Linked DNA regions of Tribolium castaneum. The protein of the gene in region 1 interacts with the protein of each later gene in a pairwise test. Links are inferred from orthologs where the notes say so. Each region holds a gene or a part of one and is shown on either strand. Other genes may lie near its edges.

What was found. The genes of interacting proteins can lie anywhere in the genome.
Region 2: the proteins of NELF-B (region 1) and Nelf-E interact in binary tests that used the Homo sapiens proteins (3 or more experiments, as listed by UniProt). The link is inferred for Tribolium castaneum from reciprocal best matches to the Homo sapiens genes NELFB and NELFE.

Annotation. Positions count from the first base shown.
Region 1 is NC_087394.1:30,669,091-30,673,407, forward strand, and holds the start of NELF-B (negative elongation factor B), read right to left. Parts: upstream 2,840-4,317; 5' UTR 2,670-2,839; coding exon 2,553-2,669; intron 2,497-2,552; coding exon 2,398-2,496; intron 1,017-2,397; coding exon 225-1,016; intron 211-224; exon of another isoform or gene 171-210; coding exon 1-170. Other genes in the region: uncharacterized protein dikar, read left to right, coding at 3,335-3,362, 3,433-3,521, 3,580-4,209, 4,257-4,317. UniProt on the Homo sapiens protein: Essential component of the NELF complex, a complex that negatively regulates the elongation of transcription by RNA polymerase II.
Region 2 is NC_087394.1:37,091,881-37,095,448, forward strand, and holds Nelf-E (negative elongation factor E), read right to left. Parts: upstream 2,306-3,568; 5' UTR 2,226-2,305; coding exon 2,145-2,225; intron 2,102-2,144; coding exon 1,611-2,101; intron 1,561-1,610; coding exon 1,506-1,560; intron 855-1,505; coding exon 743-854; intron 691-742; coding exon 617-690; 3' UTR 543-616; downstream 1-542. Other genes in the region: titin, read left to right, coding at 1-496; queuine tRNA-ribosyltransferase accessory subunit 2, read left to right, coding at 2,820-2,936, 2,980-3,568. UniProt on the Homo sapiens protein: Essential component of the NELF complex, a complex that negatively regulates the elongation of transcription by RNA polymerase II.

The sequences.
Region 1 (4,317 bases):
GACAATTGCCGCACTTGGTCGTCGACCATGAGCGACATTAGGGCCGGCAAAAATTTCGTAACGACCTGACTGTCCAGTTTGGGCTCTTTGAAGTCTTGGGAGTCGATCATGACCCAGGCACTTAGACCCAAAGCCAACATTCGCAAGAGCAAAATTAAAATCGTATTGTCCTAAAATATTCGTATAAAAATTATAATTTTGTTTCGAAAATTCTCATTATTTACCCTCGGCATCCCTTCTACGTATATGAGATGATGCAGGATTTTTATGGCCGACGTGGCCAAAAAATTAATGGCGTAGGGGTCGCATAAAGTCATTGATAAATCGCCCAGCACCTGCTCTTGGCCCCTCTTAACGTTATCCAAAAACCCTTGCAACTCCCTTGAGCGTTTAATGTCGACATTTTTTTCCCTAATGCAGGCATCAAGGCACCACGTAAATTTATGGCATGGATCTATCGAAATTATATCCTGAACTTCCAAATCGTGTAAGGCCATTAATAATTCGGCCCTCAAAGTGCAGTAATGCACGTTTCGGGTCCGCAAAAACAAAGTGCGAAGAAACTGGAGCACCATATCGTACAATTTAACACTGTTTCCAATCATGTGTGCCAACTTCTGGACGACTTCCCCTTGGCGCCGCACCTTGGGGGAAGGCCCGAAGAACTGGGTGCTGATGTTGGTGTGATCGAACAGCACGTTCTCTTTTTCGCTGATGTACTGACTCAAGAGAGGCGAGACCTCATCTCCGAAGAGCGACTGGTTGTCCTTCCAGATCTGCCGTTTGACTTCTGTGTCAGTGTCGTTGTACAGTTCCCGATCTCTAACTAATATTTTCAAATAGTTGTCGTCAATCTGTGGTGTGTTTTTCAAAATCGCCATCACTATCGGCCTTAAAGCCTTCACTTTGACCACAGGGAAACTCTTTACGAGTAAATCTTTCAGCTTCCTGTCCCTTTCGCGTCCTTCTTGCTTGCCGATTTCATTGATGTGTGCGATTAGTTTCTCTCGGAGTTCCTGAACCAACATCGTAATTTTTTCATTAAAGGGAAATAAATACAGCGAGTTGGGAACTTTATTCGGGAATTTTTTACTAATGGAATTTATGTCTACATGAATGGCAAACTTATCTCGCTGGACCTGAATGAGGGCACATAAAACACTTTATGTTTTGACGTTTTACTACCAAAGTTGGTTTTGTGAGATTACACGTTTATTTATGTATCTAATAGAATGTAAACCAACATTGCGTTTTATTACAAAACTTTTGTTCGTAACAATGCGGTTTAAAGCCAAAAACAATAAAATGTTTTTAAAAAAAGTACAATTACTGCAATCAGAAAAAAATCACAACAATTGAATAAGGAAATACGGTGTTAATACATTTTAATTGAAAATCAATAAATCCAGTTGTAAATTATGGAGTAATGAACGAAACAAGACACCAACCAAAAATGAGTCACATTATCGACCAACTCCTGAGCGCATTTTCATACAGTTTGCACCATAAAAGCAATTATAAACAGTTTTATAATTCTTATTAAGTAAAACCATGATACATTAAATACCATCTGATTTTCGGGATGTACTCGAGTAATAATCACATTCAAAACAACATTTAATTTAAATTTCATAATTATTATTATGAAAACATTAAAAACAACGTTGAATTTGACTTTTACCCTTTTTTCTAACTCAGATTTTCCTGAAACATCAATTTTTAGGAAAATGAGACGATTATTTTCAGGTTTTAGTCGTTGAAATTTGTTGAGTTTGAAAATCAACCCATTGAGGTCGTTTTAACACAAAAATGGAAAAATAACTTGTTTTTAAGCCCACTTTAGCTATTAAAACGTCGATTTTTTATGAAAAATACCCTATTTTTTATGTCCTTTTTAAAATGTGAGCCAGATTTTAATGCTAAAAATAAGGAAAACTAGGAAAGAGTGGGGTATAATGATCCCTCGAAAAATCCCTGTTTTGTAAAGATTTCTTAAAAAATATGAGCCAGGCGTAACAACTGAATCTGTGGTTTTTATTAAAAAAATAAATACATAGACAATAGAAAAATGACTAAGAAAAATCGGATAGTTTATAAACTATCTAGCTATTTTAGTTGAAACTGGGTTTTCTATTAGTTTGCAAACTAACCAGCTAGTGTACAAATTAGCCAAGTTTACACATTGACCGTAACATAGTTTAGTTTTAATTTTCTTTATTTGTTATTTTTGGGTAGGTATACGCCTTCCCCTTCACTGACGAAACTTATTGAACATTATTACTGTGTATGGTTTGTTTAAAATCAAATATATTGATGCCAGTTCTAGTGAACTTTAAAGTCCAACCCATCAGACATTGCCACTAATGAGGGGATTAATATTTAATGAGAATACTTTACCTCTACAACTGACATGTGAAAATCCAGTCTTCTCACCCCGTGTAGATCAAGTAATGGAAGCATTGGGCGTAATGAGGGTAAAAGTATCCCGTTTGTAACCTATAAGAAAGCGAATTTATTTACAAATCTATGGATAAAATCATGACAAAAAGTACCTGAAACTCTTCAATGGCTTTGAGCGGATCAGTGCAACTAGTTAAGGCATGTTTGAGGAAGGTGGGCCCGTGTATATTGAGGGCTTCCAAAGGGAAATCGTTTCTGGATGAAGACATTTTGCAGTACGAATCCTTACACTAGTAAAACATCAAATCGACGCAGTTTATCACTTAAATTCGGTGTTAGTATCACAGAGATTACAATTACACATCTCAATAAATATAAACACACAGCTTTCATAACCCATTATGAAAATATATTGTCAAAAAACACACCATTTGCTGTCAAAAGCGTCAAACAAAACAAAGGTCTTTCACCTATTTAAAATGCTGCGCTGTGATTGGTCGACGTCAAATACAATAAGAAGCGGTAAAAGCAGCACTATTCTAATAACTTCCGGTTTTTCAAAAGGCGAATTTTCAAAGTGACTCTGACAGTTGTCAGGAATTTTCGGCGATGCGTTAGGAGCATGTTTACATTGTGTAATATCGGGCAATTGGCGGAATTACGGTGATTTTGCGGTAAATTACGCCGAGTGTGACGACGTTAAGTGACGTAGAAATAGACGCTAGGTTGCACTAGTACGCAGATTTGGGGGAAGCCTATCAAAGCTTGTTGAAGAAATGGCATTCTTTTTGACACCCAAAGGCCTATAGTGCGCTAAATGTGGCTGGTTATCCGCCGTTCGAGTCGTAAATTCGTTAATTCATGGCTTTTTGGGGAGTTTCGTCGAGATTAATGTGAATTAACAACGTTACATGTATTGATCACCGTATAGGTTATGTTTCCAACTTTCATTAGCATCCTAGGTGTGTTTACGGAAATTCGCCGATTTGGCTTCTCAAGTGCTGTTTTCCCTAATTCTGGCCGTTGTTTCAGATATTCAATCATGGTGGGAGGTTCCAAGCATTGCACATTTTTGTTCATTGTTTCGAACAGCATTTAACCTTTTGGATTTTGATATCGAGGTAAAACCACGCAAACAATTCCTGCGTTCGGGTTTTGATTCGTTTTGCTTTGATCTAGGATTTGGAGGAGGCTCTCTTGACTGATGGGACGGAGGAAACCTCTTGGCTTCAAGAACTGATCGTGAGGCTTCTCAGTGGGTGCTTGCCGAACAATGAAATCTCAACGTTCAATTATCAGATGTTCCTGAGACGTCTCTTTCGCCAGAAATGTCAGGAACATGATCAATACAACCCATTTAACACAGACGTTGATTTCCAATTGTTACCTTTGAGAACAAAAGTGGACATTTTACATGCACTCTGTGATTTTCGTTTAGATGCTGATGATGTGCTTGACCAGCTGAAAAATTTAGAAGCAGACAGCTTGAGGGTTGAGCCCCTGGGTTATGACAGTAACGAATCTGCTTACTGGTATTTTTACGGTACTAGACTGTACAGAGAGGACTTTAAAACCAAGAATAATAAGAAGAAATCCGTGTGGCAGGTTATTTGTTTCACTGAAGACGATTGGTTTCAACTTAACAAGAAATTTAAAAAATCGACTGCTAAGTGTGAAAGAGAGTTACATCGTACTTTAAGTGAGAACTTCTTGCCTGAATTGCCCAGATTGTTCCGGGAAAAGGAAAGACTGGCCAGGAAGCGTCTGCTGGAAAATCAACCGAGACGCACTTCTCGACGTTTGAGAAAAGTAGTAAGAAGTTAATTATTTAATTTTTTTACAAGAGATTATTACAGGAAAATACAACTGAAAAAGAAGAAGTAACGTGTGAATCGCCGAAAACCAATCCTCTTGAAG
Region 2 (3,568 bases), about 6.4 Mb from region 1:
CCCAGAGCCCCCGGTGAGAAGCGTCTCGATTGAGGAAACGCCGCCTCCGCGTCCCCCTGACCCCATCTACATGCCCCCTTCTTCACAGCCCCCTGCGAGTTTCTACGCTTTGCGAGCGCAACAATTCGTGGATGAGGACATTCCTATGGCGCCTTATCGAAGGCGGCGTCATCGTAAAACCCCCGTTTCTAGGTCGAGTTCGGAGGAGACGCCGCCCCCGGCACGACGACGTGTGCGCTCGCCTGAGCCCCCTTCCATTCCCCAGCTGACGGGGCAATTGGTGAGGGCGTGCGGAACGGCAGCTAATTGCACGATTAAAAGACTGATTGCGCATATTCGGGATAATTTGATACGGAATGCGGATGGGCAACAGGATTTGCATGTAATGATGGTGATTTTGTTGGTTTTAATTGCGGGATTGATTTTATTAGCGGGTGATGGGAAAACGGTGCATCATCATCACTGGGAGTACTTTAATCCGCCGAGGGACATGTAAGGGATTTTTCAATGGATTTGTTATGTAAATAAATTTTTAGTCAAACTATTATTCAATTTTTTATTGTTAATACTATTATAATTAAGCGGGTTTTTTCTTAATAAATCACCTTACGTAAGTTTAGTCAAACATATCATCATACGACACTAAATTTCTCTTATCCCTGTGATTGCCTTTTTGAGAATGACTTGACGCTATAAAAATGTTGTATCAAGTTTATAGTTTTTATTTTGTTGCTTTTTTTACCTAGAGTGGCCCACGCTGCGCTCGATGATGCGTCATTTATTGGCTCTATTTGGGGCTGTCGTCTCGCTAGAGTGACTTTGAGCTGAATCCCCGAAACCATACTCCCATCCATCTTTTAATTTTTCAGTTAATAAATTTGCAAATAAGAAATAAAATAAAATAACCAATAATACACCAAAAAAATTGAATATTAATGTCACAATCACCTGTTGCTTTCAAATAAACAAGAAAATTAAGACGCAGAATTTTATATTTCTTAATTAATGACCGAGTAAATAATACGTCAAAAAATCGCCGATTTAGTTCGAATATGGTGTTACTTTTATAGTTTTCCGCCAATTAATAAATGTAACAATTTCTAAACCAAAATCACAGTTTTCCTCCCGAAAGTTTGTGAAATTGTGCCGAAAATTCAATCAGTAAAAACACAAAATTTTGTCAAAGTTGCTGTTATTTTTACCGTTTTCAATAATTTAAAGACACTTTTAAAGCAAAAATCTTACAGTTTTTGCGATGATTACATTATTCTTGCCTTTTTTTTCTAAGACTAGCTCGTTTGTTATCCAGAAACACAATTATTTACAAAATGTAAGAAAAACAAGCAAATTAAGCCGAAAATACTGTTCTTCACCTTCTTCACGTCTTTAAGCACATTTTTGAGACAAACACAAAATTCTTTTTTAATTTTTTCGTGTTTTCTCTTTTGTAACTCAATAAAAAACTATTGTAAACAATGACCAAAAAATCACAAATAAAAACCTACCTCAGCTATGGCCCGTTCGGCGGCTTCCACCTTATCAAACGTGACAAACCCGCGACTAAAACCCAAACATGTAAAACCCCACATAAAAATTGTACCCCCTCATACTTTTTCTCAATCTCCATTGAAATATTCACAATATTTCCAATCGTTGAAAAATGCTTCTTCAAAAACTCCTCCGTTATCTTATACCCTGACACATAAATCGTATTCCCTTGCCTGGGTTTATCCGGCTTTTCCCTCTGTTTCTCAGTCAAACCCCTCTCTTCCCTATCACGCGCATTAGCAAAAGTATCATACAAATTCTTAATCCTTGGCGGCTTATTTTCGGGGTTATCAGGCCCATCGTCCATCTGCACAGCCGAAAAAGGCTGATAACCACTCACAATTTTATCCGAAATCAGTTTTCTTTCCAAGCCTCTAGGCCGTTTAAAGCCCTGTTCTGGCTGTTTTTGTTGTTTGGAAATGGCCGGAATGGCACCGGATTTGATAAGTTTTTTCGCAACCTCACGAGCATCTCGAGCCTCCGCTGGCCGTTTAGGCGTAATGGGCTTTTCGGGCTCGGGTTTGGGGGCTTTCAGGGCTTGCAAAGCCTTTTTCTGAGAGGAAGTTAGAAAAGGTTGTTTACACCGTTCCACTTACCTTTTTCTTAAGTTTCTGGTATTTGGCTTGGAGCATGAGCTCCTCTTCAGTGAAATTTGCCGGAAAATGAATGTAAACCATCGTTTAATCAAAAAAAAACTTGTCCAATTTGCAAACTGAATGACAGTTCGATGAATAAACATCAACACTAACAGCGGTTTAATGTGCAAAAGGTCGAAAATCACAGTACTAGTTCATAATTCAATTAATTTTAATTGTTTAATTTAGATAAACTATTCACTTTATAACCAATTCCAGTCAGCTAACTCAATGTCCAAAATTTAATACGCTAGTTATTTTTTTAATTCACGCAATACTGTACTGGGCCACTGTAAATTTCGATATGTCACACGTTGCCACACAAAAAATGCCAAAAAAACTACAAAACAACCACAATTAAATAATGAAAAAACTGGCAAAGTTTTGGTATATTAATGAATGAAATCATGTGAAGTTCGTTTTTAAAACGTAAATGAGTGTGTTTTTGCGCCCTGTCATCTATTTTTTCCCATTTGTGAGGCATGCAAAAGTAAGGTTAGGCCGGCATGTGTCCACTTTTTTCGGATTTTTGAATGTCATGTTTGCTTTATTTGTCAAAACCTAATTCTGGAAGTGATTTTAGTTGTATAGACTGCTTTTTCACACTTTTCCGAGTGCATTTAGTGTAAATTAACGATGAAATTTTACGTGGAATCTGTCTCAAAGTGTGCCCAACGTTTGGGGACTCTTTCAGAGATCGATGCCAAGCCTTCTGTCTCGATCAAGACTCCTGCAGTAATGCTCCACACACAGGTGAGTCCCCTATTTGGTTAACTGTCCTTAAAATTTAATTTAGGGCGGTCAAATCCCTCACATTACACATGAGGTGTTTAAACTGGTCAGTAGGGACCCCCAGATCTTGCAAATCCCTTTAGCTGGGATGCACACGTTTAAAGAGGCGATGCAGTATTACGAAGGGACCATTTCCAATTTCATTGGTAGTAAAGACAGTCTGACTTGTCTCACTCTTCAAGACCCTTGCAATATCACAAAACAGGGGCACAATTCCACGTTAAAAGTGCCCATTTGGACGAAAAACGGCAAGGTTTATTACGACGCTAAAAGCTACATGGACGTGGTGGAGTCTTTCAAGCCTGACATTTATTTCTTGCTCTCTGATGGAGACACCAATATCAGCAGTTCGGAAAAACGCATTTCAAAATCACTCAGTAACACAGTCAGTTTCTACAAGGAGTGTTTGGAGAGACACCGAAAATCGCAAACTTTAGCCAATTCGTTTGTGATTGCTCCTGTAGTGGGGGGTTATAAACAATTAGCTCGGGAAAAGTTTCTCAAATCGATTCTAGCAGATGTCAAAGATGTAGGTGGGTTTTTAATAGATGGACTTCATAATAATGGTCCCGAGACCGAGTTTTTGGAATTTG